4 linked regions of the Notamacropus eugenii genome follow. Each later gene encodes a partner of the first gene's protein in a complex. Links are inferred from orthologs where the notes say so. Each region holds a gene or a part of one and is shown on either strand. Other genes may lie near its edges.

The links.
Region 2: the proteins of PLK1 (region 1) and MIS18BP1 are in contact, whole or in part, in a crystal structure (PDB 8S31), measured with the Homo sapiens proteins. The link is inferred for Notamacropus eugenii from reciprocal best matches to the Homo sapiens genes PLK1 and MIS18BP1. Residues at the interface, in NP_005021.2 of Homo sapiens: Lys413, Trp414, Val415, Asp416, Tyr417, Asp419, Tyr485, Ser487, Glu488, His489, Leu490, Leu491, Arg516, Phe534, His538, Lys540; in NP_060823.3 of Homo sapiens: Asn73, Ile74, Phe75, Gln76, Ser77, Thr78, Met79, Leu80.
Region 3: the proteins of PLK1 (region 1) and CDC25C are in contact, whole or in part, in a crystal structure (PDB 3BZI), measured with the Homo sapiens proteins. The link is inferred for Notamacropus eugenii from reciprocal best matches to the Homo sapiens genes PLK1 and CDC25C. Residues at the interface, in NP_005021.2 of Homo sapiens: Lys413, Trp414, Val415, Asp416, Tyr417, Tyr485, Glu488, His489, Leu490, Leu491, Arg516, Phe534, His538, Lys540; in NP_001274511.1 of Homo sapiens: Leu126, Leu127, Cys128, Ser129, Thr130, Pro131, Asn132.
Region 4: PLK1 (region 1) and KNSTRN share a complex: the UniProt entries of both Homo sapiens proteins name them as parts of the astrin (SPAG5)-kinastrin (SKAP) complex. The link is inferred for Notamacropus eugenii from reciprocal best matches to the Homo sapiens genes PLK1 and KNSTRN.

The regions. Positions count from the first base shown.
Region 1 is NC_092872.1:81,486,817-81,494,241, reverse strand, and holds the start of PLK1 (serine/threonine-protein kinase PLK1), read left to right. Parts: upstream 1-4,200; 5' UTR 4,201-4,494; coding exon 4,495-4,926; intron 4,927-5,385; coding exon 5,386-5,554; intron 5,555-6,408; coding exon 6,409-6,553; intron 6,554-7,425. UniProt on the Homo sapiens protein: Serine/threonine-protein kinase that performs several important functions throughout M phase of the cell cycle, including the regulation of centrosome maturation and spindle assembly, the removal of cohesins from chromosome arms, the inactivation of anaphase-promoting complex/cyclosome (APC/C) inhibitors, and the regulation of mitotic exit and cytokinesis.
Region 2 is NC_092872.1:606,016,566-606,024,798, reverse strand, and holds the start of MIS18BP1 (mis18-binding protein 1), read left to right. Parts: upstream 1-5,156; 5' UTR 5,157-5,247; intron 5,248-8,233. UniProt on the Homo sapiens protein: Required for recruitment of CENPA to centromeres and normal chromosome segregation during mitosis.
Region 3 is NC_092872.1:365,474,730-365,481,899, reverse strand, and holds the start of CDC25C (M-phase inducer phosphatase 3), read left to right. Parts: upstream 1-4,086; 5' UTR 4,087-4,095; intron 4,096-4,329; coding exon of another isoform or gene 4,330-4,503; intron 4,504-5,563; coding exon of another isoform or gene 5,564-5,668; intron 5,669-5,781; coding exon of another isoform or gene 5,782-5,877; intron 5,878-6,319; coding exon of another isoform or gene 6,320-6,363; 5' UTR 6,364-6,392; exon of another isoform or gene 6,393-6,591; intron 6,592-6,914; exon of another isoform or gene 6,915-7,170. Other genes in the region: oocyte-specific histone RNA stem-loop-binding protein 2-like, read right to left, coding at 3,105-3,299, 3,966-4,086, 4,330-4,503, 5,564-5,668, 5,782-5,877, 6,320-6,363. UniProt on the Homo sapiens protein: Functions as a dosage-dependent inducer in mitotic control. Tyrosine protein phosphatase required for progression of the cell cycle. When phosphorylated, highly effective in activating G2 cells into prophase.
Region 4 is NC_092878.1:26,428,081-26,436,331, forward strand, and holds the start of KNSTRN (small kinetochore-associated protein), read left to right. Parts: upstream 1-5,209; 5' UTR 5,210-5,269; coding exon 5,270-5,328; intron 5,329-5,701; coding exon 5,702-5,769; intron 5,770-8,251. UniProt on the Homo sapiens protein: Essential component of the mitotic spindle required for faithful chromosome segregation and progression into anaphase.

The sequences.
Region 1 (7,425 bases):
CGACAGTACATATAGAAAAATCCAAAGGGGGTAAAGGGGAGCATGTACGTATGATAATGAAATTATAATAATCCTCTCTACACCATAACTTCACTCTAGGTCAGTTCTTTACTATTACTGTGAAGGTGCTATCTTAGGGAGGGCCCCTTCTATGGTTTGGTGGTCAAACATCCTGCTCTACATCCTGGCAGTGCTGCTGATTGGCTAACTATTGTGGTCCTGTCTGGTCAAGATGGATGATGTGGTTGAGGTTGAGTGCATAGACATACCTGTTTCTGTGGAAAATATGTGAATTGCATCTGGGGGTAGAGGCTAGCTAAAGGATTAAGTCTGGTGGCAATGGCTGGCTAGGGGAAATGGCTAGCTAGAGGCAGTGGCTAAGTTGAGTCTGGATGCAGTGGCTAGCTAGAGGCAGCAGGTCTGCCGATGATTGAGTTTGAGGACCTATGGTATGATTAAGGCCAGATTGTATGGTCAAATCAAGCCATACCTGCTGTTTAGTGGGGCCCATAAGGAAGTTAGAATATTGGGGCTGATTTAGCAGCTCTATTAGGATTCCATCAATATTGGGAAAGAAGAAATGAAAAAAAAACATTAAAAAATGAAAATAGTATGCTTCGATCTGCATTCAGACTCCATCAGTTCTTTCTCTGGTTGTGGATAGAATTTTCCACCATGAGTCTTTTGGAATTTTCTTGGATCATTGTATTGCTGAGAAGAGCCAAGTCATTCATAGTTGATCATCATACAATGTTACCATTACCGTGTACAATGTTGCCCTGGTTTTGTTCATTTCACTTTCCATCAGTTCCTGTAAGTCCTTCCAAGTTTTTTCAAATTCATCTGCTCCTCATTTCTTATAGCACAATAGTATTCAATTGCATTCATATACCATACATTCCTCAATTGATGGTTATCCCTTAAATTTCCAAATTTTTTGCCATCACAAAAAGAGCTGGTATAAATATTTTTGTATAGGTAGGTCCTTTTCCTTTTTCTTTGATCTCTTTGGGATACAGATCTAATGGTGATACAGCTGAATCAAAGGGTATGCACAGTTTGATACCTTTGGGCTGGATCTGTTCACCACTCCACCAACAGTGCATTAGTGTCCCAATTTTCCCACATCCACTCCAACATATATCATTTTCCCTTTCTGTCATATTAGCCAATTTGATAGATGTGATGTGGTACCTCAGAGTTATTTTAATTTTCATTTCTCTAATCAGTAGTGATTTAGGGCATTTTTTTCTTCATCTGAAAACTGCCTGTTTATATTCTTTGACCATTTAACAACTGAGGAATGCCTTGTATTCTTAAAAATTTGACTCATTTCTCCATGTTTGAGAAATGATGGTGCCTTAACTTCTGTGATTAGATCCTAGAGTTGGTCTCCAACTCTCCTATAGTCAGTCAATAAAAACTTATTAAGTGCCTTACCCTGTGCCAACTCTGTGCTAAGTGCTAGACTATATTGAGAGGATACAAGGTGTGTACAAGTAAGCAAGGCAAATATGAAGTATGTCTGTAGAAAACAATATAAAGTAAATTATTTGAGTGGAAGTAAAAACAAAAAAATGATAAACATCCTCTGCTTTCAAGAAACTTATATTATATATAATAATATATTAATAATTAATATATTACATATTATAAATTAGATGCAGGATTGTACTGGTAAATGTTTAGCTCTCTGGAAATGTTTGTAGCTGTAAGGTAAGACTCACCTTGTAGTCTGTAAATGTTTCCAGCTTTCTGGAAAAATGTAAGCATGACACATTTTTTAAAAATTCAAATAATATTCTACTTTCCCCCCAATTACATGTAAAAACAATTTTTTAGCATTCTATATTTTTTAAGCTTTGAGTTCCTAATTCTATCTTTCCCTCTCTCCTTCTTGAGACGGTAAACAATCTAATATAGGTTATACATGTACAATCATGTGAAACATATTTCCATATTAGTCATTTTGTGGAAGAAAACTTGAACCTGAAAAAGAAATGAAAGAAGCAAAGAAAGTGAAAAAATAGTGCACTTTGGTCTGTATTAGATGCCATCTGTTCTTTTTCTCAAAGGGAAAGCATTTTTCATCATGAATATTTTGGGATTCCAAGACACATTTTTCAGTCTAATTTGTATTATTATTTTCTTCATTTTTTTAAAGTCTAGAAATCAACAAAACAATAAATTTCTAATTCATTGCACTTGCTGATTTCCAAGATGTAAATGCTCACACGGAAAATTTTAAATGACGCTCTCTCTAGCAAATATGAGTTTGTTCCAATACCTCTCCGATTATATACTTGAAAACTTAAGGAGGGAGAAATCAGTAACAGCCAGGGGGAATCAGGAAAGCTTCTGGTAGGAGGCAGCATCTGAACAGAGCCAAATCAAGGATTATAAAAGTCACAGCTCAAGAAGTAGTGCATTCTGAGTGTGTGGGATGAACTTATTTGATTGTTCATACAAAGGCACTGAAGACTGAAAATGGGACCCTCGAGTCTGGGGAAGAGCAACTAGACCAATTTGACTGGACCCTAAGTACAATAAGTTTGCTACAGGGGTAGTGAAGGATTTTTCTATATTCCACACCCAATCCTAGAGTTATTAGGGAGCCCCTGAAGGTTCTTCAACAAAAAGGCATCATTTTAAGAAGGGGTTAGTGAAAGTACTGGAGTCCTTGTCTTACAAAGTGGAGTTTAAGGAACTGAGGTATATTTAGAATGGCAAAGAAATGACTGGGGTGGGATGGGAGAGAAAAGCGAGTGGAAAGAAGACCGGAGAAATGGCTGCCTACAAGTAGTTGTAGGACCGTTGTATCATGGACCGTTGTATCCAAAAGGAATTAGCTTGTTCTGCTTGTCTCCAGAGGGCAGAACTAAACCAGTGAGTGTAAGTTATAGAGAGGCAGATATACTCCCCATCTTAAGAAAAGCTTACTAGCAAATAGAGTTATGCAAAAGTAAAACTGTTTCGCCTTTGGAGGAGGATATAAATATATATGTATATGCATGTATGTATTTGTTGAGGTTTGGGAACCATGAGGTTTGGGGAACTCAGGACCCCAAAATACGGACAAGCCAGTTCCTGCCGAATGAATTCGACTCAAGACTTCTTCTAGCAAAAGTAAAGCAAAGTTTATTAAAGGTTTGCCATGTTGGATTGACTCTTAAGGAGCCTTGCCATTTGCGATGCTTGTATTAACAAGTGGGCCAAATAGAAAGTTGGCTAGACAGTCAAAGCTAGATTGAATCTGAGCCCCTTCATGGAGGTGAGATGGAATTTATATAGAGAAAGTCTGCGGGAAAGATCTAGAGGTGGTGTAGTAGTCTGGGAGGAGAGTCTAAGGAGGATCTGGAAGAAACTAGGGTAACTAGTGATGTAATGAAGGGTGGGAAACAGCTGGAGGCAATTGGGAGGTATCAGACTATGGAGAGCTTGAGTGGGAAGTAATGGAAGATGGGCTAGGCTAGGTTAAGGGTCATAGATTTGGGTATAAAGTCCAGATTAAGTGGGAAGATTCAAGCAGAGTTCAAGGAGCTTCTCAGAGTCTGTACCCCACCATATTTTATCCTTCAGTCTTGTCTGACTGTGACCCATTTAGGGTTGTCATGTTAAAGATACTGCCATTTCCTTCAGCTCATTTTAGAGATGAGGAAACTGAGGCAAACAGGGTTAAGTGACTTGCCCAGAGTCACACACACACACGCATTACATACACATATACACATACATGCATACGTATGAATGCACACATATACACACGCAAATATACACAGATACATAAGCGCCCACTCGGTAACACTAAAAAGGAGATTCTTGTTCAGCTACAGACAGCTCCTGGATGGTTCGTGGTCCATCATCAATTGATTTCCTCCTCCCTGGGGGTCCTTCCCAGGCCAGTCACTGCCACAGATCGCTTCTCCCTCCCTCCTTCTTCCTCCGTGGTGCAGCACGCTCAGCACGCTCAATCTCCAGGCTTCCCAGGACAACCAAACTTGACAGCGGCCCCCCACTCGCTGTCAATAAAGTTTGTTGAAAGCTCGGCTTGCCTTCGCAGGTGGGGCAGGGGCTAGTGGGTGGTGGAGGCGAGGGCTCTCCCATCGTGCCCCGCGGTAGGCGGGTTTGGATTTTAAATCGCTGCAGCCAATCGGCGGCGCGGACCGCCCCGTAACGTTCCCGGCGCTGGGTTTGAATTCTGGGCTACTTGCACTGACCCTGCAGCCGCGCCGCTTGGGGCTGGCAGAGTGCAGCCGAGCTGTCCTAGCTTAGCCCCGCCGAGCTGGCCTAGCGGAGCTGGCCTGGCCTAGCCGAGCCTAGCCGAGCCGAGCCGAGCCGAGCTGGCCTAGCGGAGCTGGCCTAGCCCAGCCGAGCCGAGCCGCAGCCGCTGCGCCGCACCCGGGCAGGTCCAGCCGGGCGAGAAGCAGCGGGAGGAGGACGGAGCGGCTGCGGGCGGAGCTGGGAGAGGCGGCTGGGGACGGCGGCGGCGGCATCATGAGCGCGGCGCCCGCGAAGCTACCCCTGCGGCAGCCCGGCGTGGGCTCCTCGGAGCCTCGGGGCAAGCCCGCTGTCGGCGGGGCCGGAGCGGGCGGCGGGACCGGGACCGCGACCGCCCCTCCTGCGGCCGCCCCGGACATCCCCGAGGTGCTGGTGGACCCTCGCAGCCGGCGGAGCTACCTGCGGGGCCGTTTCCTGGGCAAGGGCGGCTTCGCCAAGTGCTTCGAGCTCTCGGACCTGCAGAGCAAGGAGGTGTTTGCGGGCAAGATCGTGCCCAAGTCGCTGCTGCTGAAGCCGCACCAGAAGGAGAAGATGTCCATGGAGATCAATATCCACAAGAGCCTGGTCCACCAGCACGTCGTCGGTTTCCACGGCTTCTTCGAGGACAGCGACTTCGTCTTCGTGGTGCTGGAGCTGTGCCGGAGGCGGGTGAGCGCCCCGGAGGTGGGGGGGACGGGCGAGGAGACGTTAGTGCCCCGGGGTGCTATCAGAGGGGTGGAGGGCCTGCAGGAAGGACTGGGGGTGGGGCGTGCTTCCTCTCCGATCTCCCCACCAAGCGGTCACCATAGAACCGGCGTGGGCACTAGCGAGAGCCCGGGAGGTTGGGGGCCGGGCCCAGCTAAACCCAGAAACTGGCTCCAAGTTCCATCGTGCCCTTGAGTTCTCAAGTTCGAGGCCTCAGTTCATGTCTTGAACCCTCGGGGCTCGGGGAGAGAGTGGATCCCCTGTGAGTTCTTTCATAAGCAGCATTAGGGTGGAGTAGCTCTGTTGCCCCCCCTTCCCCCCCCCCCCCGCAAGGTTTCCACTCACACGACCCCCTCCCCACCCCGATAACAGAGTCTGAGACCCCTTGACTTAGCGCGTGTCTCTTCTCGCTGCCTCCCACAGTCCTTGCTGGAGCTGCATAAAAGAAGGAAAGCAGTGACTGAGCCTGAGGCCAGGTATTACCTTCGCCAGATTATCCTAGGCTGTCAGTATCTCCACGAAAATAAAGTTATTCATAGAGACCTCAAGTTGGGTAATCTCTTCCTCAATGATGACATGGAGGTGAAGATAGGTAAGACTGGGGAACCCCTAACCAAGCTGGGATTTTGTACAGGAAGTGTAACTTCCTAAATGGACCTAATTCCCCGTTGAATAATCTGTGTGGCTGTCCAGGAAAGACCCTTAAGCAAAAGTCCCAGGGATTAGTCTAAAGTCTGTGTGACTGGAGCCTTTTCCACAAGCCAAATTTTATAAACTTCTTTTTGGCTTTGCTGTTAAATCATTCCTCTTGGCAAAAGTAAGCAGTTATGCTTAAATGCACAACCTTATGCAAGAGAGCTACAGATTGAAGAAGATTTAGTCCTAAAATGCTTGCAGGAAAGTGTATGCCCAGAGTCATATTTTCCTTGCACAGCTCCATGTTTTTTAGAAAAGGATAGGGATGGAGATGGGGGAGGTGAGGGCAGCCACAGGTTGGTAGCTAAAAGAATACTGTAGAAAAAAATCAACAACCCATGCTTTTCTTTGTTTCTTCTGTACAACAGAACTGGGCAACCAGGGAACATAGACATGGTCCAGGGTTTACTGTGGAAAACAAAAGGAATTCTGGATCTAATTTCAAAAAAATTTGGAGACAGGCACCTATTATACAAAGGAGGATATAACTCCTTCCCCCCAATCCCCCCAGTGAGATGAGGCAGGGGTAGTAATGTTCTCTCTGGGTCTTTAGATTACCCTAGTCTAGGGAGATGGGATAGAAAAATTATATTTTATATTGTAGGCTACAATAGGGCCAGCTTTGTTGAAAAGGCCCCAGGCTGTTAGGTGCCAGAAGTGGGCATCAGTAACAACCTACATGGGACTATGGGTCAAACCAATCTGGATTCCTGGGAAGAAGAATGATTTGCTTCCTAACCCTTATTACAGGTGACTTTGGATTAGCAACCAGAGTAGAATATGATGGTGAACGTAAGAGGACCCTCTGCGGAACACCGAACTACATAGCCCCTGAGGTGCTAAGTAAGAAGGGCCACAGCTTTGAGGTGGATATCTGGTCCATTGGGTGTATCATGTGAGTAGTAGCTTAACTGGATTCTTTATCAGGAACCCAAGAGACAGGCAAACCTCCATTTATGAATAGGCAAAACCTGGCCTTCCTTTTTTAGCTCTCTGTTATCCTAAGAACTATTTAGTCTCAGGGACGAGAAGAATAGAAGGAAAGATGATCCAGGGAAGATGAGATTCCAGTGACAGTGAGATATTCAAGAACACTGGTCTTTGGGGACAGTGAGGAGATGGGCAGGACAGGTGGAAGGGTTAACTATTGCTTTTAAGTGATTGTGGTTATCTGAAACAAGATCCTTAGAGAGCAGGGGGAATGGAGCCTTGTTTCCCTTGATGCTGGCATCCCACTGAGGGCCTCTTCCATCCAGTACCAGTTTTCTTCCCTTTGCCTAGGCTTGGCCTCAGGAGCTGAAGGATATTTTCCTAGGTCGTTCACCTTTTGCACTTGCTTGCAAAAAATTGGCTTCACAAGTACAAGATGATGGAGGCATGGTTCCAAAGTTTGTTTGAAAAAACTCTCTCAGTATCTGAGTACGGTACAAGTTCAACATTAGTCATAAGTATAATGTGGCAGCCAAAACTAATGTGATCTTGGGCTACATTTAGAGGCAACACTTCCAGTCAATCTGTAAGGAAGTAGGAGGTGATTATCTTACAATACCCAGACTCCATCTGGAATATTGTTTAGTTCTGAACAAAACCATTTAGAAATAACATTACTAATAAGCTGGAGGATATCCAGGGGAAGGCATCCTGGATTGTGAAGTAAGTGAAGGACCTTGAGTCCATGTATTATGAGGATCATTTGAAAGAATGGTATGTGTTTAGCCTGGAGAAGAGAAGGGGAGCATGAGAGCTGACGTGTTTTAAGGGGTGTCA
Region 2 (8,233 bases), about 520 Mb from region 1:
AATTCCAATTTTTAATAAAAGTCACTGAGAACTCCAAGGATTAATTAATTGATTTATCAATTTATTAGGGAGTCTTGGGGCCCCTATTCAATTGGGTCCAAGATCTTCCTCATGATCAGGGACTACCCCCCTTGGATGGTAGTCACTTTTATATACTTGGAAAAGCACTAAAAATTGAAGGAATCATTACAATTCACTGATTGGTCAATTCCAGAAGATGATTTAGTGACTGAGTGCACTGAATGTAGGATTCATCTTGATCTTTAAGCCTGACCCTTATTTTAAATATTTTAAGGAAATAGTCTTAGGTGATTTCCTTAAATATGATGGTTGGCTTCTTTTCTATATCACACTTTTAGGGAGCCTGATAACTCTGATGTTCTTTCTCTATACTTTTTCCTCAAGATTGATCTCCTTTCTCTAATATAAAGGCCAACATCAGGAAGGAGGCTGGAAGAATCAGCAAACCAAAAAAAATCCCTCCATAAAAACCATTATAGTAAAAAGAATGCTCCAGACACAATCTCAGAAGAGAATGACTCCAAAATATCTACAAGCAAAACATCCAAGGAAAATGCTATTTTGGATACAAATTCAACCAGAATTCCCTGGGAGAGAGGAAGTAAAAATTTAAGGGAAAAAATAATTTACTTTTTTTTTTTTTTAACAAACAAGTGAGTGCTAGAGAAACAAATGGGAAAGAAATCAGAACTATGGAAGAAAGAATTGAAAAAAGAATTAACAGTATGGCACAAGAGGTACAAAACCTTCCCAAACAACAACTTCTTTGAAAATTAGATTGGATCAAATAGAAGCTAATGACTTCATGAGGAAACAAGAACTATTAAAACAAAATTTAAAATACAAAGCAAGATATTAAACAAAACTGAAACAAATAATATTAAAACAAAACTAAGACAAAAATAAACCTTCCCAAGCAATAGTCTCTCTGAAAAGCAGATTGAACCAAACAGAAGCTAATGACTCCATGAGGAAACAAGAAATATTAAAACAAAATTAAAAGACTGAGAAAAAAAAAGATATGTTATCCCATACCAATAAACAGTTGATCAACAAAACAGACCAAGCAGAGACAATTGAAGAATTTTTGGACTACCTGAATACCATGAGCAAAACCCAAGCTTTATAGTGTTTTTTTCCCCAGGGTTTTTGGGACACCATTTTCTCCTGATTTTTCTCCCAAGTGATGTTCCTTTTCATTCTCCTTTACTGGATTCTCCTCTAGATCACACCTTCTACCCACAGACATCTCTCAAGGCTCTTCTTGGATCCTCTTTTTCTCTCCCTTTATATCTCCTTTACTTGGTGATCTCATCAGCTCCCATGGAAAAACAAAACCCTGTTACAAACACATATAATCAAGCAAAACAAATTTCTGTTCTGATCATGGGATAAAAAAGTCTCATTCTGCATTTTTGAGTTCTGTACGTCGAACAAGGAGGTGGTAACATGTTTCATCATGGGCAACTTCCATCTGGACAGGGAATCTACTATTTCCTACTGCTGCCTCATAGCCAGCCTCCTCAGATGAGATCTCAGCCCACCTGTAAGTTTTCTTTCTTACTTAGGAGGGAGAGGTGTATTTTTGCAGACTGAAAAAAATTAATCATAAATATGGAAAAGACTGATCTCCTTTGTTTACAATACTTTTAGATACCTTCTTAGTTTTCTACATTTTTTCCTGTTTTCTCAACTGTTTCTGCAATTTTATACTCCAGCATCACAATTCTGTTTCTAAATGAAGCCATTGTTTTATTTAGTTTTCTATAAGTATTTTCAAAGTACTGAAAATATTTGTAAGCTTTTATGTCTTCCTTATTTCATCTTGTGATGTTTTAGATGATTTAATTTTCCTTTGACTTTGCTTCAGTGAGTTTATTATCCATATTGATGCAATATTATGATGATTTTAGCTTTCTTTCTGGTGATGTTAGTATTCTATTATATTTTCCTTCTGGTATTTGTTTTCAGTTTCTAGTGATCTATAATATTTATTCAAGGTATTGGAAATATTGTTTGCTAATTTTGAAGTTTCATTACAAGGGTTTTAGATAGTCTTAATTTCCTAATTGGGGGGACAATGATCTATTTTTGGATAATTTTTATTACATTTTAGCTTTTGTGTATAGCTAGGTTTATAAGATAGTATGCAAAGACCATTTAATTTAAAAAAAAGTTAGCAACAAAAGGAGAGAAATTTAATAAGATACAGAAAAAGTAGGCTATTTGAAACACAGATTGATTTAATATCATTGGGACTAAGTTTACATCTTTGCTTCTCATGTTGCCTTGACTCTTGAGAATTTAACAAAGTGAAAAATCTGAATGAAATTTTCTCTGAATTTATCATATTTTCAGGGATACTCTTAAACATAACATCTTTGATGTTTAATGACAGATGACTTACTACTAAAAATTTTCTCCCACATATTTTTTTTCATATTTAAAACATTTAATTGGCATAGAGTAAATTTTTAGAAAAACAACTGGAACAACAACCACATGATAAAGTATGGCTGTTTTATTCCTTTTTTTTTTTTTTTATTCATTTTCAGTGCTCCACAATCACTTTCATATAACCTAGATTTTTTTGTTTCCCTCCCTCTCTCCTCCCTCCCCGAGACCACATACAATTCTATATGGGTTCTTGAAAGATTATGAAGGCTTATAGTAAGATTATATAGGCATAGGCCTCAGTCTCTATGAATATATTATGAACTTTAATTCACCCCTAGCGTGTTTGCGAACAGAGAGTCCACAATTGGTCCTGAGAACTTGAGGGACATCCTTGTTGAACCCTGGCCAGGTCCACAAGGAAGAACTTAATTAGCTGCCTATGGATTCCTGGAACTAGTCATTCTGGGAAAGTACTGTCCTTGTGGCCCTGGAAAGGCTGCCCCCTTTCCAGAGCCTCATGTAAGGATTAGTGCCTTGCCAACATCTTTGGCAGCAAGGCTTCTTTGTTCTCAGACTATTTCACGAATAAAGTTTAGTTGACTAGTTAGAGTCTCACCCACGGAGAGGACGCTCTGCCTGGGACCTTCTGATCGGGACTCAATGGGCAGTTTCCTGGGATTCCCCAGCCCTAAGGACTAAGAGTTGGTGCTTCCCCTGATTCGGTGATGTTTTCCTTCTCTAATATATACATATTAGTAGGATTTGCTTTATTTGTAATAGTATTGAGTTGTATTGGATATTTCTTTTGTAAAGCTGATCTATGCTTACCTATCTTTTGAATTATAATAAATCCATTTTATATCCTTTTATTGTTGGATGTGTCATTTTGTAGGAGCCAATCAAAACTAAAACTCTGAACTGAACAGTTCTACCCATACATTCCCACTAAATACACCCTCACCTTAGTCATGTAGCATAGAATTAAAATGAATGGGACAAATCATAAAACAAACCAAAAAGTAATACAAAAGAAAATGATCTGCTACATTCTGCGATTGAATTCCATAGTTCTTTTTCTGGATGTGGAAGGCATTTTGTCTTAAAAGACTATTGGGAATTTTTTAAGTCTTTGCATTGTAATGAAGTTCTAAGTCTACCAGAAAAAATCCTCGCACACTGTTCTCCCATATATTTCACAGAGTTACTCTCCAGTATGAGTTTTTAGATATTGGGTGACTTCTCTAGCTGAAGGCTTTCCTACATTCAATACATTCATAAGGTTTCCCTTGACCATGAATTCCCTGATGTGAGAAGAGGGATAAGAAGTCAAAGAATGCTTTCCCATATTTATTACATTAATAAAGCTTCTCAGCGTGTGTTAACTAATGTCATGTAAGGATATCTTTCAAGCTGAAGGTCTTCCCACATTCATTACATTCATAGGGACTCTCTCTAGTATGAATTCTCTGATGTTGAGTAGATGAGCAGTATAATAAAAAAATTCCAAATTCATCATATTTGTAGCGTTTTTCACCAGTATGATTTTCTTACATGTACAGTAAGAGAAAAATGATTGAAAAGGACTTTTCTGCATTCATTGCATTCATGGTATCTCTTCTTCATGTTTTTTTTTTGTTTTGTTTTGTTTTGTCAAAGATGATGTATACTAATACTTGCTTGATACCTCTTTCATGGGAAAGGGATTTTTCCCATGTCCTCCTACCTTGAGAAGTTTCCTTATACTTCTGCAATCTGTGATCTGGAACAGGAAAAGATCCTGTCTCTCAGTCTTTCTTTTAATGAATCTGGTGATTCTATGTGTTTAGAAAAGTTCTGCTTTGGAATTGATTCCTGTTCTTGGGCCTACTATCCCAGTCTTAAACCAAAAGAAAACACAAATTTAATCTGTTCTCCATGGAAGAAGAAAAAAATATAGTAAAAGTAGATGATGAAACATAAAATAAAGTCTATGAGGCATCATTGTATGGGCAACCATCAAAAAAGATTATATTTTAATCTGCAAAGAGACTATGAGAGGTGAGAATTGAGAAAGGTACAGAGATGAGGAGAGAGTGCAGATAATACATAACATTAGGCAAGGTGATCAGAGAATATGAGAAAGTCTATCTAAGAGCATAAGATAGATAAGAGAAGTAGATCGAGTGAAGGGTATGGTGATAAATAGGAATACTAAGGAAGGAAGAAGAAATAGAATGGGATCTAGACAAATAAACTGTAAAGAAAGGGTAAAGAGAGGGCAAAAGGTGGTATGCTATCAATGGGAGCTACCAATGTCAGAGAGATGAGATACCCTTGAGGCTCCTGGAGGTTCTCCTAGAGAACCCTGGAGAGGGGCAAAATGTTAACATATCTGACTTCTAGGTAATAGGGGGCAGAATAGTCACCATTAACACATTCATTCTAGTTGTAAATAAAAATGCTGAACAGCAGAGGACTCAGAATAACCCATAAACAATTTTCCTCTTTGATAACATTAGCTCATCAACAGGTGCTGTGGGTTTGATCATTCAAACAGTGTCAAATCTACTTAACTGTACTAACATAGAACCTACATTCATCCATCTTGCCCAATATGAGAAATTTTGTCAGATGCTTTGTTTCCCTCTTACCCCACTCATCCTCCTTCAGTTGTTGCTCTAGAGACACAAAGTAAACTTAGCCTTTATGATGTAAGCATTTGGTAGAGCCAATTGTGAAGTTCACCGAAAGAATGAAATACTATAGTACAACTCCACTCCTAGTTCAACTTTGTTCATCTTGGCAGAGAACTAAATAACATTCATTAACCACTACTTTGAAATGAGACAGGTATGCCTTTATCTTTATCTTTTTTTTTTTTAAGGTCAATATATGTTATTTTTATTTCTGCTTCTGCCCTTAGCTGTATAAGTTTTTTTTTTTTAATTTAACTTTTAACATTTATTTTCACAACATTTTGGGTTACAAATTTTCTCCCCTTTTCTCCCCCCCCCCCCCAGACCCAAGCATTCTAATTGGCCCTGTGATCAATCTGCTCTCTCTTCTATCATCCCTCTCTGCCCTTGTCTCCGTCTTCTCTTTTGTCCTGTAGGGCCAGATAGCTTTCTTTACTCCTTAACCTGTGTTTCTTATTTCCTAGTGGTAAGAACATTACAGTTGATCCTAACACTTTGGGTTCCAACTTCTTTAGCTCCCTCCCTCTCCACCCCTTCCCTTTGGAAAGCAAGCAATTCAATATAGGCCAAATCTGTGTAGTTTTGCAAATGACTTCCATAATAGTTGTGTTGTATAGGACTAACTATATTTCCCTCCATCCTATCCTGTCCCCCATTACTTCTATTCTCTTTTGATCCTTTCCCTCCCCATGAGTGTCGACCTCGGATTGCATTCTCCTCCCCATGCCCTCCCCTCCATCCTCCCCCCACCCTGCTTGTGCCCTTGTCCCCCACTCTCCTGTATTGTGAGATAGGTTTTCCTATCAAAATGAGTGTGCATTTTATTCTTTCCTTTAGTGGAATGTGATGAGAGTAGACCTCATGTTTTTCTCTCACCTCCCCTCTTTATCCCTCCACTAATGAGTCTTTTGCTTGCCTCTTTTATGAGAGATAATTTGCCCCATTCAATTTCTCCCTTTCTCCTCCCAATATATTTCTCTCTCACTGCTTGATTTCATTTTTTTTTTAAGATATGATCCCATCCTCTTCAATTCACTCTGTGCACTCTGTCTCTATGTATGTGTGCGTGTGTGCATGTGTGTGTGTGTAATCCCACCCAGTACCCAGATACTGAAATGTTTCAAGAGTTACAAATATTGTCTTTCCATGTAGGAATGTAAAGAGTTCAACTTTAGTAAGTCCCTTATGACTTCTCTTTGCTGTTCACCTTTTCATGGTTCTCTTCATTCTTGTGTTTGAAAGTCAAATTTTCTTTTCAGCTCTGGTCTTTTCATCAAGAATGCTTGAAAGTCCTCTATTTCATTGAAAGACCATTTTTTCTCCTGAAGTATTATACTCAGTTTTGCTGGGTAGGTGATTCTTGGTTTTAGTCCTAGTTCCTTTGACTTCTGGAATATCCTATTCCATGCCCTTCGATCCCTTAATATAGAGGCTGCTAGATCTTGTGTTATCCTGATTGTATTTCCACAATACTTGAATTGTTTCTTTCTAGGGGCTTGCAATATTTTCTCCTTCACCTGGGAACTCTGGAATTTGGCCACAATGTTCCTGGGAGTGTCTCTTTTTGGATCTCTTTCAGGTGGTGTTCTGCGGATTCCCCCTGGTTCTAGAATCTCAGGGCAGTTTTCCTTGATAATTTCATGGAAGATGATGTCTAGGCTCTTCTTTTGATCATGGCTTTCAGGTAGTCCCAAAATTTTTAAATTGTCTCTCCTGAATCTATTTTCCAGGTCAGTTGTTTTTCCAATGAGATATTTCACATTATCTTCCATTTTTCCATTCTTTTGGTTTTGTATTGTGATATCATGCTTTCTCACAAAGTCCTTAGCGTCCATCTGTGCCATTCTAGTTTTGAAAGAACTATTTTCTTCAGTGAGCTTTTGAATCTCCTTTTCCATTTGGCTAATTCTGCTTTTGAAAGCATTCTTCTCCTCATTGGCTTTTTGAACCTCTTTTGCTAATTGAGTTAGGCTAGTTTTCAAGGTGTTAATTTCTTCAACATTTTTTTGGGTCTCCTTTAGCAGGGAGCTGATCTGCTTTTCATGCTTTGACTGCATGTCTCTCATTTCTCTTCTCAGTTTTTCCTCCACCTCTCTAACTTGATTTTCAAAATTCTTTTTGAGCTCTTCCATGGCCTGAGCCCATTGGGTGGGCTGGGACACAGAAGCCTTGATTTCTGTGTCTTTGCCTGATGGTAAGCATTGTTCTTCCTCATCAGAAAGGAAGGGAGGAAATGCCTGTTCTCCAAGAAAGTAGCCTTCAATAGTCTTATTTCTTTTCCCTTTTCTGGGCATTTTTCCAGCCAGTGACTTGACCTCTGAATATTCTCCTCACACCCACCTCGCCTCCTGGTCCTCCCAGCCAGCGTTTGGGGGCTGAGATTCAAATGCTGCTTCCCACCTTAGGGCTTTTGGCGGGGGCAGGGCTGCTATTCAGTGTGAGAATTAAGTTCAGGTGGTCAGGTGGGGGCAGGGCCGCCTCTCAGGCTCAGTTCCCTCAGGGGGTTTATGCACAGACCTTCCACAATGGATCCAGGCTCCCTCCCGCTTGGGGAGCCCCTGTCTGCAGCTGCCTCTCAGCTTCTACCTCCTGGGGGGGCCTGAATTATGGGGGCACCCCACTCCCCTCTCGACCCGCCAAAGAGACTCTCTCACCAACCCCTGTCACCTGTGGGTGGAGGGCCTTGTGCAGCCGCTGGAGATTCCGTCCCTGAAGCCTGCTCGGATCTTTTCCTCTCGGTGCCACGGCCGCGGCAGGGCTGCACTCAGCTCCCAGTCCCGGCGCCCAGTCCGCAGCGCGAAGGACCCCCCGCGAGAGGTTTGCAGGTCCCTCCGGAACAGAAATCTCCCTCGCTCCAATATTCCGTGGCCTCTGGGTGCAGAATTCGCCGTGAGTTACTCCCCTATAGCCGATCTGTGGGTTGTGGGTTTGGAGCTATGTGTATGTGCGTCTTTCTACTCTGCCATCTTGGCTCCGCCCCCCCTTTATCTTTATCTTTACCCATGAGACTCCTACCAGACTGTCATGCCTTATCCGGTCAATTTTGTACTGTTATGGGAATTTTAAATTTCGTTTTATTTCTCAGGCATCTTTTGGTTAATATTTGCTTCATCTGAACAAAGCCTGTCCCATGGAATGTA
Region 3 (7,170 bases), about 280 Mb from region 1:
ATAAATCCAAGGAATCATTTCAGAGGAGTCCAGCAGGGTATCATCTCTCACTCTTCCTGTTCAATGCACCACAAAGCCTAGGGATGCTGGGAGTGATGACATCATTAGGATGCAGAAGGCAATCTGTTCTACCTTTCTGGCTGGACACCATTCACTCATTCATTCACTTGTGCCTGTGTACTCACATAAGTCTAAAAGGGCACTGTTTGTATATGACAAGTTCTGCTTTGTATGCGACTTTTTCCCTTCTGTAAAATGGGGAGAATATTCCTTAATCCATACCCATCTCATGGAAAGATAAGTTTCCTGAGACACTGGGAAAGTTCTCTATGCTCTTCAAAAAGAATAAAAAATAAAAAGCATTACAGAAATCCTATACACTGAGATTTCTCCTCAGCTGCTTCCCCTATATAGGCCCTTGTTACAGAAGATAAAACTCAAGCTACGTTATACTAAATGCTCTTGGTTTCTTAAAGCTGCCTTTTTGGAGATCCATCAATGGAAAAGGGTACCTAGTTGCATTCAGATACTAGGGACAGCCTTTGGAGGGTGAGGTAAACTCATTTTCAGGCTCTCAAGATTTGGGCCATAGGAAACTCCTAGTTTTTTTTCTCTCTAGAATCAAGAGGATGAAGAGGATAATTTCATATTTTCTGCATTTTAATTGCTGGGATGTGGTCATACACAAGTCATTGCAACAAGCCAACTACTACCTATCACATTAACTGACATTTTGGGCTCTACGTTTCTTAAAACAGAGTGGGGGGGGGGGGGAGGGAACCTGAAACAATTGAACCAAGATATAAAAAAGGCAACCTAGCTTGGAGAGGGCCAAACCTAAAGCATTAGAAGGCTTAGTCTTGGCTCCTTCATTACCTTATCTTCTAACTGCAGAATAAAGAAAGTCCTGAACCCACACTAAACAAGTTAAAACTTCTCAGCCTAATAACCGCCAAGGATCGAAGCCCTTTTGGGAGGAGGCATCTGGCTTGGCCTCTTAGGTACCCAGAAGACCCAACCCTCTTCCCCAATGGGGCACTGACATTTCCCCACTCCCCAAAGATCTAAGTGATCACTGATACTTGGGTCTCAGAAACAGAGTCAGAGCTGAAGAGCAGAAGTCTCCCTTGGGGGTAGATCTACTTAGTTCAATGGGACAGGCTGGCGGGAGATTTTCTGGGGACTCCAGGCCTTCTCCCTCCATCACAACGCCCCCACCCCCACCCCCAGCTTGGGGTTAGAGTATGAATAAAAACAACGGCGGGGGAGGGGTTCCTTTCTCCAAGGCCCTGGTGGTGCCTGGGGTGGGTGGGTGTGATGGATGCTGCCCACCCCTTCTCCACCCACAATTAAGACTACACACTACCCCCTCCATCCCTGGGTTGCCGCTACCTTAACCACGGGAGGGGCAAGAGGTGACCTATGACCCTGTGGGGGTGGGGGCGGATGACGTCAGAGGAGCCGCTACCCGCCCCCTAACGCCAGCCTTCTGGCCCAGGACCCGGGCCCGTAAAGGAGTTTGGGGGGGGGGGGGGGGGAAGATGTCTGGGGACACGGTGCTCTAGCGGCCCCCTCCCCCACCAGTCCTGGGCTCCCCGCAACGGGGCGGCCTGCAAAGCCAGGCCGTGAGGAGGGACTAGCTGGGAAAGGAAGGAGGAAGGGAGGGGCAGCTGAGGTCTCCGCCCCAGGGCCCAGCGCCACCTGCCCCCAGGGCCCGCCCGCCCGCTACGTACCGCAGCTCGGTCCCCTTCCCAGGGCCGCAGCCGGAGCAGCTCTGAGCTCGCCACTTGCCCCACGGCGCCCTTAAATAACGCCGGAGCGAACCAATCGTCCCCCTGCCAGAGAGGGGGGGGTAGCTTCCCCACTCCCAGGACTTGCCCCGAAGCCCCGTGCGAGGGCCAGAATTCCTGGGGTTTCCTCTCCCTCCCCCAAAAACTGCTGGTAATCAGTAGCGTCCGTGATGGAAAAGGTGCAACACTTGCTCCTCTCGATGTACCTCGCCTCAAAGGGGTCTTGCTCCCCACTAGGTTCCCCTACCGAATTGCGGAAGGTGGAAGGGACCGGCTCTAGGCTGAACTAACTTCGGGCCAGTGGGGAGAATAGACAGAGGTAAACAAACTCAGGCCCTCTCTCTACAGTTCCTGCTCCAGTCTGACTAAGACGCCTTCTCTGACCTTGACCTCTAGCAGAACAAGCCTCGCACCCCGGTGTTCGTTTTTCTATTTCTCCCTATACTGCCACTGCTTTGAAAAAAACCCCTCTTCCCTGCCACTGAGGACTCGTCTGCGACCCAGGGGCAGATGGGAGGTGTAGTCCAATGCTGGCCAGACTTGGGGCCTGCTTGAATAGGGTTCCAGAACAACGGGCAGCAGGAAAGGCTGAGGGGCAGGGGGGGCGAATTCCCGATCTGGATCCCAGGACCTTAGCCCCATCCCCAGCCCTTTCTTCTTTCTCCCGAAGTCGCGCCTGCACGTCCATTACTACACTCAGTGGGCCTGGGCCCCTTCTCTTCTTCCATCAACGCCCCCCATCCCCCGCCCTTCCAGTCACAGCAGGATGAGGTAATTGGATTGTGATTATGACATCATAATAAGCTCAGCTCTTTTCCTCCTCCCTCCCCCACCCCCAATGTATTCTAGAGGAAGCGCCCTCAGGACTCCTCTATCAAACCCCGCTTTTCATTCTTTGTGTAGAAGTGGTCAGACCCTCGCAAAGACCTTCTTTGTCCATAAAGCAGGAGTGGTCAGTGAGAGGAAAGGGCTATTCTTTCACCAAAGCCACAGGATTTCAGTCTGAAGTAACTGCACAAGTTACGAGTAAAACTCATCCCCCCCAAGAAAGACCTAGATGAAAGAGGCTAAAATAGAGGAAAACAGGGACAGAGACTTGAGAATGAATGCCAAGGGAAATAAATGAATCCACAGTCATGCCATCAGAGAGGCAAAGGGGTAGAGAAGTGATTTTAACCCAAATTTGAGCCAGTGGAGAAGGGCTTTCTTATTGCAGGCTGGCAAGTTTGTAAAACAGGGAAGGAACAGGAAAGAAGAAAAAAAAGAGTAAGGCAGGACACTAAGCTAAATAGGGGGCATTTTCTTCATCAAGGGTCAATGAGGGTCTTGCCCCAGAAAGCTGGGCAGCCTCCCTGCCCAATTTCCTAAAGGCCTTGTCTTCTCAGCACACTCCACATGCCCCAACACTGAAAGTGGTAGGTGGCTTCCATCTCCCAAGCAGTATAGCCAGTGACAGGGAGCTTCCAGCTGGAGACAGGGAAGTGAGGTGATAAGAGCCAAGATGTCAAACTGAAAAGAGAGAGGGGAAAGGGCCCATTTTCAAGAGGTAGGTAGACAATAGCTATCTATCCTCCCTGTTTTTCTCAGAGGTAGCTTAGCTTGGAGGGAATAGTACTCATTAGGATCTTCATTATGCCCCTTTTCCCCACTCCTAGAGAATAACCGCAAACATTTTACAACAGAAAGTAAAACCCTGGTAAGGATCAGACTGTGAAGTATTAAACAGACAATTCTTCCTAAAGTTTAAGGTAGTACGCTTGTAGATAATGTAACTTTATGGGGCAGAGGCTAAAATTAGGGCTCTGAGATACTTGCTTTCTCCCACCACACTTGTTTAATTTCCATATTTAAGCTTTCTGATCAATATATCATTGACTTGTTTGCATAAAAAGAAAACTCTACTCGTTCCAATTCCCAGTTAACTATCCCAACCCCAGTTTATCTAGTATGTATACACCTGTTTTGAACTCAGCCTTAATTCAGCCATTATGAAGTAATATTTTATTTATTATAAATTATTATATAAAATTATCATATATTATTAATTATTATATGTAATATGTAATACACAACATGTATTATAAATTATTATAAATAAAATGATTTATTTGTTCATTATGAAATATACCCACACCCTGAAAGACAACTCTTTTGATACTGTTCCTATGAACCTACCTGGGTTCTCATTTGGTCTTGATTTAGATTCCACAGGGGAGTCAGAACACTGAGCCAGCCTTTCAAGAAGTCATCTGAAGATCCTGAATCCATGCTCCCTGAAATATTCTCCACTCCCTGCCTAGCAAAGGTATATTTATTTAGGAGAAGAAACAAAGGCAGAATGAACCAGGACCAATGCAGACCCATTTTTTATATAGGTAGCTGTTCTCAGAACTGGGAGCAAGAAAAAGGTTTAGATTAGTCTAGGGTTCAGGTATCATTACAATGACTCCATTAAGAAACTTTGGCCCTTGTCCTTTCTCTTATACCCTAGCTTTTGTCAAAGGAAGAGAAGGTTTAGAACTCAAATCCCACAACTCACTGTAGCCAGGTACAAGAACACATATCATTCTCTTTGAACAGCAAAGGCTGACTGGGAGGATCCCAAGCATGTAGGGCTCGTCGCCATTGCCTGATCTGGGCATCCCAGGAACGTCGGCTGTACCTTCGGCTTTTGTCAGGTGTTTGAGGGTGAAGTCCTGACTGCCGTGTTGCCCTAGAGATAAAATGAACATCTTAAATTATGGTCAAAGACACCTATAAATAGATGGAAGAGGCTTAGTGCTCCTGTGTTATTGGCATGACTGAGAATCAGCCTAGTTGAAGAAAGAATTCTTCAGCATTGTTGGACATAGTTCATTAATTGTTTGCAGGTATCAGAGACTAACTTTAGAACAATGTTCATAGGCTCACAGATTTAAAGCTGAAAGGTACACCTCAGAGACTGCTTAGACCAAATCCCTCATTTTATAGCTGATAAAACTGAGACTGAGCTTTGGAACTTTGCAGTAGCTATATCCCATCCCTAGAATGCACTCCTACCTCACCACTACCTCACAGAATCCTTAATTTCCTTCAAAGCAAAGGTCAAAGTCCACCTTTTACATGAAGTTTTTATGCCCTTCAGCTCCCCCCGCTAAAAAAAAAAATTACCTTGTATACTTTTGTGTACAGGTTGTCTTCAGAACATAAGGGCCTTGACGGAAGGTACTATTTCATTTCTACCTAACATATAGTAGACACTTAATAAATACTTGCATATTAAATGACTTGTACACAAGACCACATGAGTTACAGTAAATAAGGCTAGAATTTGAGCTCAGGTCCTCTGACTCAAAATTCCCCACTCTTTCTATTATACCATGCTACTTGCAAAGTTGAACCCCTCTAAAATGCCTTCCCTTACTGACGAATAACAGTGTACTGACTCATGTTCAAAGTCTAAGAGAAGAGACAGAATAAGTCCAGGAAAGTTTAGCCTAATATTTTTAAATAGAAGATTCTATTTATAAAGATGCAGAAAGGCAAGTGATGAGAAGGTTTAGGAAGACAAGGTAGCCATTAACAAGATCAGAACAAGTATTATAGACCATGTAGAATGCTTAAAGATGTTTAGAAAATAGCAAGATTAATTGATAGGCTTCCTAATTTTTCTTAAGGCATTCTAATATGAATATCAAGGTGACTTGGTATTAATTGATAACAATTGATGGTAAAAGATATTTTCAGTTCTTCAAAGGATAAATGTTGTCCATCCCCAAACCCTCTGCTCTTACTTAGGGACTTGCTGTGAGAAGCACTGGTAACCAGCTGTTCGTTTCCCATAGTCTATCTGCTTTTGTCTCCTTCGAAGAACAATCTCATCTGTTTCTACATCCTGCCTGTGGAGAAATAAATGTCCTATCAATAAATAGCTATGAAAAACATAAAATGTTCTTAAACATCTCTTTACACTGCGGCCATCTCACTCCATCTGCCAGACTCCATAACTCACCTGCACCTTCTGCAGCTGTTCTCTGTGCTGACTCCCACACTCACCATCTTCACTCCAGAGGAAGAATTCCCAAGCCCAAGCATGTTCTTATCGGTTCTATAAGTAAAGAAGGTATCAGAATGACTAGGTGATTGCTGTGCTTTTTCCAAAGAAACACATCCTTCATCTGGATCCTGGACAGCCAGATTGAATTAGTGTCCACATCTCTAAAACACCCTCCACAATCCTCAGAGCTTCAATAAATAGCAAACGAACTTACATTGGACTTTTATTAAGCACCTACTGTTTGCAGGTCCTGGGGGAGATCGAGCTCAGATAAGACACACTCTCTTCCTTTCAGGATGTTTTTTTTAACTACAGTCTGGTAGGACAGAGGTAGTCAGTCATTCACGATACCATACGTGCTTAGAGCACGGAAAGGTGCAAAAAGGAGAGGTCAGGCTACAATAGTTGAAACTGGACAGCAGCAGGAAAAGCCCTTCGTTCCCCTACTCCTTTCCAAGGAAGGAATGGAGAACCTGCACACCCCAATACACACCTCTCTCTCCTCAATTCCAGAGTTTCTAAAGGCAGATTCTCCATTTCATCGCATCACCTCTCAGAGCACTAAGGTGAGGAGTCGGTGCATTAGCTAAGGCGAAAAGGAAGGTAGGGGGAATAAAACAGCCCAGAAACCCTCACCTGCACTCACCAGGTTTTTCAAATTCACCATTCAAAAGAAATAAGCTGGTGAGGGCGGGGCGAGAGGGAGCGAAGGGAGGGGGTGAGGGGGGTGGAGATTTAAATCTCCCGGGTGGAAGGCGTGGGAAGGGCGAGGTCCGGGCGGACGGGATGAATGGCCAAAGCATGAGCCAATCATGTATCCGATTTTCCCCGGAAGGCGGAGTTTAGCTCGGGTTTCGCCGTAACCTCGTAGCCAATCCGCCGCCGACTCGCGCTTGCTCGGAAGATTCGCCCAATCCCGAGTCCCGCCCATCTCTTTGAGTTTGGGTCCTGCCTAGCAGCAGGTGACGCCACAGCGAGCGGGTCTACAGACTAGATTAGATTGGCTGAGGCGCGCGTGGTGGGGCGGGGAGGGAGGGTGGGATTCGCTGGGAAGACTCACGGCCATTGGTCAGGAGGCGTCTGGGGGTGGGACTTCTAGGAGGTGCTCGGCGATTGGCCGGGAGGCTCCTCGCGCAGCTCTGGGGGCAGGCGGAAGGTTTGAACTTTCTAGGTGTGGCGAGCTGTTGGGCTGCGTCCTGACTTATAGCTCCCGGTCCTACCCTGGAGGTCCCGGGGAGTAGAGGCACGGATCCGGCGCACGCTCCTGTCTGCTACCTCCTGCCAGAATTGTCCTTCTTTGTACATCCGCCACAATTTCCCCCCTACACGCCCTCCTATCCCCGG
Region 4 (8,251 bases), on another chromosome or scaffold:
CTGCCTTTGGACAAGAGGAGGAACTGTATGAAGGATGCAGAAACAGGTGTCAACTGGCAGTGCCCAACACCCCATGTTAGGCCACAGATCCAAGGCAGACTAAAAGAGAATCTGCACCCAGAAATGATGTTCTCAGATGTGGTGTGCCAATGGTAAACAGGTGATGTGCCAAGAAAGGAGCAAATTCAGAATCAAGTGGAAGCTTGTTCATTGGAGCAGAAAGGCATCTCATTTCTAGCATCTAGCTTAGTCTGAAGCCTCTAGAACAGCCAGGGCAGGAATCTCAGGCCAAAGGTGAGCAAAGGACGCAGTTCAATCATTGAACTGGCAAAGCTTTCCTGCTAGCTGATAAGAGTTGTGTCCAATAACTCTCTATTGTTGCTCAAGCCAAATTCAGATCAGGAACTTTCATAGATCAGATCAGGATGGCAACAATCAAACTTTGCCCTAGATCAGACCATTTGTGGAATGCTGAAAAACTTGCAGATCTCCAGCCTGTCCTTGAGTTCCTAGTATAACACAACTTTAAAACTTACAAAAATAAATAAGATGAGACACTTGAGTAAACAATTGGAAAGGAAATGAGAGCTATGGAAGAAAAAATTAGTAAAGAAACCAATAGCTTGTCACAAGAGGGACAAAACCTTGTTGAAGCAACAAACTCGCTGAAAATTAGAAAGTGCTAAATAGAAGCCAGTGACTCCATGAGGCAACAAGAAATATCAAAACAAAGTCAAAAGATGAGAGAATAGAAGAAAATGTAAGATATCTCATAGCAAAAAGCAACAAACATGGAAAATAGATCAAGGAGAAAAAAATAAATTAAGAATCATTGGACTATCTGTATGCCATGACCAGGACAAAAGCTTGGACATAACATTTCAAGAAACCTTAAAAGAAAACTACCCAGATTCCTTAAAACAGGGGTGGGGAACCTGTGGCCTCATGGTCACATGTGGCCTTGAGGTCACTGGTTACCCATTCCTGCCTTAGAATCAGAAAGCAAAGTGGAAATTGAAAGAATCTACTAGTCACCTCCTGAAAGAAACTCCAAAATGAAAGCTTTGGAACATTATGGTCAAAATCCAAAACTTCCAGATGAAAGAATAACCAAGAAACAAAGAAAAAAAGAACAAAACACTACAAGCAGTCAAAAAAGAAAGAATTCAAGTACCAAGGAGTCAGAGTCAGACTCCTATATGATTTAGTGGCTACCACTATAAATGAATGGATAACTTGGAACACAATACTCCAGAAAGCAAAGGATATATAACTTATACAGCAAATTGAATATAATGCTACAGGGGGATGGATGGGAGGGGATGGGGGTGGAACGGACCTTTAATGAAGTAGAAGACTTCAAAGCATTCCTGATGAAAAGTCCAGATCTTGGTAGCAATTTTGAAGTTCAAACACAAGAATTAAGAGAAAGCTAAAAAGGCAAGGAAATAAACAATGCTAAGGGACTGCACAAGGTAAACTGCTTGCTTCCTAATATGGGGAGATAATACGTGTCCCTTATGAGATCTGTCAGGGGTCAGAGAGTGAATCTTATTAGACAGAAGACGTGGAAGTGGTTCTGTTACGTCTTGATGATCTTAAAAGAAGTATGTAAAGAGACGGGAAGAGGAATACACTTGGGGCAATGTAAGGGAAAGAGGAAAGAAGGTTAGGGGAAATTATCTCACCTAATCAGGGCACACAAGTAGACATCTATACAAACAAGGAGGTGGGGATAGGGGATGGATGATGCTTCAATCTCATTTTCCTATCACACTCAGAGTTGGGTACAGAAATGCATTTCACACAATAGGAGGAAAAAAAGAGGAGGGGTGAATTGGAGGGAGGATAGATTAAGGGAGGAATTAGTACTAACAAACTAGTACAAACAAACTAAGGTTGTACAAAGTATTTGTAGCTCTTTTTAAGGTGATAAAAATGGGAATCTGAGGGGTGCTCATAAATTGAGGAGTGGCTAAATATGTTCTGGTATGTAAACGTGATGAACTATTGTGGTGTGCAAGAAGTAATGAAGATAATGGTTTCAGAGACACCTGGGGAGATTTGCATGAACTGAAGCAGAATGAAGTGAACACAATCGGGAGAGTGATTAATTAATATAATGGTTGCTGTCCTTTGTCTTCGCAGAGGACCAAAATGACATCACCATATTACAGTGAAATTCAGTGTGTCTGACTGTGGCTGATGAGACCAATAAGATCTCAGAATACTGTACCACAGGTTGGGCACAGATTGTCCATGTGAATATTTGGGGTGGATACTCCAAATTTGCGCATCCTGCGTTTACTTTGTGCTGTCTCAATTCTGCTTTGCTCAAAGAGCACAGCACCCTTTCGGATGTGGGCACACCATGCTGAGCGGGTCCTGTGCCAGTGTCTCCCATGTTGCACAGTCAAATCCAGAGTTCTTGAGAGAGACCTTGAGAGTATCCTTGTATTGCTTCTTCTTCCCACCATGTGGAACACCTGCCCCACGCGAGTTCTCCATAAAATAAGTCTTTTTGGCAAGCATACATTTCACATTCGAACAACATGGCCAGCCCATTGGAGTTGCGTTCTCTGGAGCATGGTTTGGCAGTTCAGCTCGAGCAAGGACTTCAGTATCTGGTACCTTATCCTACCAGGTGATCCTCAGAATCTTCCTAAGACAGTTCAAATGGAAGTGATTCAGTTTCCTGGCATGGCGCTGGTAGACTGTCCATGTTTCACAAGCATATAACAATGAGGGCAACACAACAGCTCTGTAGACCTTCAATTTGGTAGTCAGTTTAATGCCTCTTCTCTCCCAAACTTTTCTTCGGAGCCTCCCAAACGCTGAGCCAGCTCTGGCAATGTGTGCATCACGTGTGTTCAGGGAGGACCGGTACCTTTGGTGTGATGGCTGCCAAGTCCTTTTCAGGGCTCTTTCCACCTTTGGTGTCCACCTGTTCCACCCAACTCTCACCTGTGGCTCCAAGAAGCTGCAGCATGCTCAGCGGCCACACCCGGGTAAACCATTGAGGCAGACTGGCCAAACCAGGTTGAGGGTAACCAAGGGTTCTCACACCCACAGGTGAGTTAGGGAGGTGTGTACCTCAAGTATGTGAAGACTTTCTCTGGTGGAATGGGCGGATGAGAACAATTTGTTCCAATGGCCATGAATTAATGCAATGACAACAATATGAAAGAATTAGCAGCTTGGATCAGCAGGATGACTAAACACTATTGCAGAGAACTAATGATGAAATGCTACCTCTTTCCTGATGACAGACTCAGTGAAAAAGAAACTTTTTTTTTGGAACAAAGTCCATGTAAAAATTTGTTTTGCTTGATACACTTGTTTATAACTAGGATCTTATTTTTCTTTGGCTCTTAATTTGGGGGGTGCACAGATTAGATGAGGGGAGGTAAGAAGATAGATTTTTGCTAAATAAAAAAATGCAAATATAGGAGGACTATGGGCGTGCAACAGTGCACATATTGTCAGACGCAGTCAATGTAGTTTAATCCACTGAGCTGCTTTAAACCCCTCTGTTTTTTCTTTATTATTAATGAATACAACACAAACTAGGGAAGAGGAGGGAAACACTCATATTCAGAAATAAAAGTGGTGTAAAAACAAAAGATGGCAATACAAATTAAACAATTTTTTAAAATCTAAAAAAGCTGCTATTAATTCAATAATACCTTCAAATTAATTTGTATTTTAATAATCACAATAGCAAATATTTAAAGAATAGTAACACTTACGTAAAGAGGTAACTTGTAGCATAGTGGATAGAGTGCCAGGCTTGGAGTCAGGAAGACCTGAGTTTAAATCCAGCTTCAGACACTTACTAGCTGTGTAACCCTGGGCAAAGTCATTTAACCCTCTTTGTGTCAATTCCTTCTCTGTAAAATGAACTGGAGAAGGAAATGGCAAACTCCAGTATCTTTGCCAAGAAAATCCCAAAAACGGGTCACAAAGAGTTGGACACAACTGAAAACAACTAAACTACAATAACACATATATAAGATATTATTTATATAGCATGATTGTTGTTTATAAATAATTTTCATAAATATGTTCTCATTCTTTATAAATAATTCACATTATTTAATGAGATAACTGGTATGCATATGGATTCTGGACTATCTTTCAATCTGACTGTTCACCTCCTTAATTTTCCACCCTCTCCCAGTCTTAAGAAATTGGATTTTATGCCAAAATTCAAGAAGAATTCTGGCAACCAAGCAATGTAATTAATGATGAATGATTAACAACGACAACACAAAATCCTAGATATAAAGCTGGAAGCCTTTCCATTGTACCACTTTTATATAGTGGTACATATATATGTATATATACACATACATATATACGCACATATATATGTATACACACACACATATATATACATATATATATACTGGCATATATTCATATAGTATATAAGAACTATTAGCATAACTCTTAACCTCTTTTGGGGTCATGGACCCCTTTGGCAGTCCAATGAAGCCAATGGACCCTGTCTCAGCATGATGCTTTAAAATAATTGTAGGAGAAGCTTAATTTCAGTTAGAGGTTAGTAAAAATAAAGGTGTATTTTTTCCCCCATTCAAGTTCATGAACCTCATCAAACCTATATCCCTGGACCCCTCTGGGGGGTCTGTGGAGCCCAGGTGAAGAACCTTTGCTTTAAGGTCACAAAGGTATTCCATATATTAATTCATCTGATGCTGAGTTGTCTGGGATCCCTGATGAAGGCTTGGGCAAGCCCAGGTAGATCTTCCAATTCTTGATTAAACAAGATCCTTTATTAAACCCACTGTGCAGTGGATAGGACGCTGGGTTTGGGAGCCAGGAAGTCTTGCTTCGAAATGCTACCCTTGGCACTCACTAGCTAGTCTTGTATCCCTGGGAAAATCAAGACACCTCTCAGTGCCTCAGTTTCTCCGTCTGTAAAATGGGGGACTTGGACTAGAGAGTCTTTGATGTCCCCAGTCAAGGTCACCGTGCCCTCGCCCCAAGGCCTTCTCCAGCGATCGTTCCTTCCAACTCCACATCCTGACGAGCTCACCCCAGCCTTTCCCAAACCTCCCACCACGCTCCAGCCCCGGCCAGCCGTACAACATGGCGGCCCCCTCGCTCTCGTTCCTGTAGGTTTCCTCCGTACAGCATGGCTGCCTCCGGGACTCAGAGCCGGCCCCGCCCCCTTCCACCGGAAGTTTCTGTTTGAAATACCGGCGGCGCCTGGGCTGGCGGTTCCTGTGCCCGAGCGTGAGTGGTGATGGAGAGCGGGTGCAGACCGGGGGTCGGGGACCCGGCTTCGGCCGGGGAGCGTCCGGGGTAAGAGACGGCTTGGAAGGAAGCGGGGACCCGGGGGCTGAGGGGGCGGCGGGCCGGGCCCCGGGGGGGCTGAGGGGGAGGCCTGGGCCCCGGGGGGGCTGAGGGGCGGCGGGCCGGGTCCCGGGGAGGGGGCTGAGGGGGGGCGGGCCGGGCCCCGGGGGTGCTGAGGGGGAGGCCTGGGCCCCGGGGGGGCTGAGGGGCGGTGGGCCGGGCCCCGCGGGGGGCTGGGGGGGCGGCGGGCCGGGCCCCGCGGGGGGCTGGGGGGCTGGGGGGGCGGCGGGCCGGGCCCCGCGGGGGGCTGGGGTGGCGGCGGGTGCCCTCCCGCCCGCAGCCCGCCGGGGCGCCTCTCCCAATGGAGCCCCCTTCCCTCCAGGGTCCAGTCCGGCCGCGCCTCGAGAGCCAGCACCGCCAGGCCTGCGTTGGGCGGAGGGCAGCCCGCGGGTGAGTACCGGGGCCGGGTCGTGGCCTTCCGCCAGCATCCGTAAAGCGCCCACTGTGTGTGCCCTGGGCCCTGGGCATCCCGGGAGGCCCCGAGGTTTGCTAGGGCTAATACCGCGCTGTAACGGGGTGGGGGTGGCGGGGAGCGCAGGTAGATACTAATGATGGCTAATGTTTATGTAACACTTAACGGATGCCAGGTGCAGTGCCAAGCCCTTTACCTTTATCGCAACGACCCTATTGGCATCCCCATTTCACAGATGAGGTTGAGTGACTTGCCCAAGGTCTCCCAGCTAGTTCACTAACTAGAGGAATTAGGAAAAGCCTTTTCAAGGAGCTGGCACTTGGGCGCCTTCATTACTGATTCCCTCGGGGATCTTGTTAGCTCTGACAGATCCAGTTATCATGCCTACGGAACATGTCCCTCAGATCTACTGTCTAGCCCCAGGTCCGCCCTCACCTCACTGACTGTCTGTCTGCGTGTGTTCTTCATTTTGGAAGAGAATGATGACGTCCCTTGCACTTGACTTTGTTTTGAGTGAGGGAGGGCTGTGCAGGTCCCCAGCCTCACTTCTCCTCCAGAGCCATCTGGATCCGGTGACCAGATAGTCTTCAGGATGACTGGAGATGACCCAGGATCCAACTGGTTGTTCTGTGAACATCTTAAACTCAACATCTCCAAAACTGAACTCATTATCTTTTCTATCAGACCTTCCCTTCTTTCTAACTTGGCTGTTACTGTGTAGAGGATACTATCAGGAGTCTAGTCACCAAGGCTCACCACCTGCCTATCATCCCCTCCTCCTCTTACCTTACCCCTCCACCCCCATGTCCAATCCGTTGCCATTACCTGTTGTTTTTACCCTCTTAACATCTATTGCATATGTACCCCCCTCTTCTCTGATGCTGCCACTAGCCTGGTGCCACTTATACCTGAATTTTTGCCATAGCATACTGCCACAAGTTTCTCCCCATTCTAATCCATCCATCACTAAGCTGGCAGAGTGTTTTTCCTAAACATAGGAAACATAACCATGTCACTGATTTCTTATTGAACTCCAGCAATTGCTTGTCACTTCTGGGATCAAATATGAAATCCTCTTTGGCATGCAAAACTCTTCATAGCCTGTTCTCCTCTCCCTCCTCCTCCAGAAGCACAAAAGCATGTGTCTGGAGAGCAAGGGTGGTTTTTCTTTTTGTCTTCATAGTTCTAGCCCTTAGCACATTGCTTTACAGAGTGCTAGTGTGGATACACTGAGAACCTACTGACTTGGACTTTTAAAAGACATATATTAAAGGTGCAAGAGAAAGTAGGTGTCAGAGGATAAATCCAGAAGAGTGGTGACTCCCTACCTGTACAAATACAGACTAACATGGCTGATACAGAGTTGAAGTTGAAGTTAAGTAAGGCATTTGTTTGTAAGAAAGCATCTGGCTGCCCTCAAGTCCCCAGACTTGGACTACCACAACAGTCAGTACATGAAAAAATTGGTAGAAGTGATTGCTAAACTGATGTAAATAATCTTTGAAGAATTTTAGAGAATGGGAGAGGTGCCATAGAATTGGAGGTAACAATTGTCCTCATTTTGAATGAGGGAAAGAAGAGCCTTCCAGTTACAGGCTAGGGAACTTGAAAAGAGTAGAAACTGGATGCTGGGAGACTAATTAGGAGGCTGTTGTTAGAGTGCAGGTAAAAGATGGTGTAAGCTTGAATTAGGGTAGTGATCCTGTGAATAATAGGTTCAAATCCCACCTCTAACATCCAGACTTGTATGAACTGATGCAAAGCGAAATGAGCAGGACCAGGAGAATAACCTGTCCAGTTACGGTAATATTGTGAAGGTAATCAGCTTTAAAAGACTTGGTAATTTTGATGAACGCAACAAGTCATCACAATTCCAAAGATTCATCACAGAATGCTGTCCAGAAAGATAACCAGTTGACCCAGAGTGCAGATTTGAAGCATATTTCATCCTTCTTTCTTTTCCTGGCTTTTTTTGAAACAAGCTTGATGTGGAAATTAGTTTTGCATAACTGAATTTGTAATGGGTTTTGTTTTCTTCTCAGTGGATTGGGGAGGGGGGAGTAGGGAGAGAGAAGGAAATTTGGAACTGAAATAAAAGCGTAAAAAAGTCTCCGTTTTAAAAAGTAATCTTGTAAAAAAAAAAGTTGTTAATAAAAATTTATTTTTTAAAAAGAAATGAAATAAAGTAGCTAAGACCCATTAAATAGTTCCAGCAAATTATGAAATATAGCTATGGTGTGTTTAGGGAGTTTAAGCCTGTATTCTCCACCTTCCTATCTTCATTCTTTTTTTAAATCTTATTCCTTTCGCTTATATTAGCCACCATGTTACGTTTATACCCTTTTTATCTCTTCCAGCCTTAGAGATCCTCAGATGAGTACTCAAAGAGTCCATGTATTATTTTGGGTAGTGTTACTTAGATATGGCCTTTTTATCCCAAGGAGATTAAAATTCAGTGAT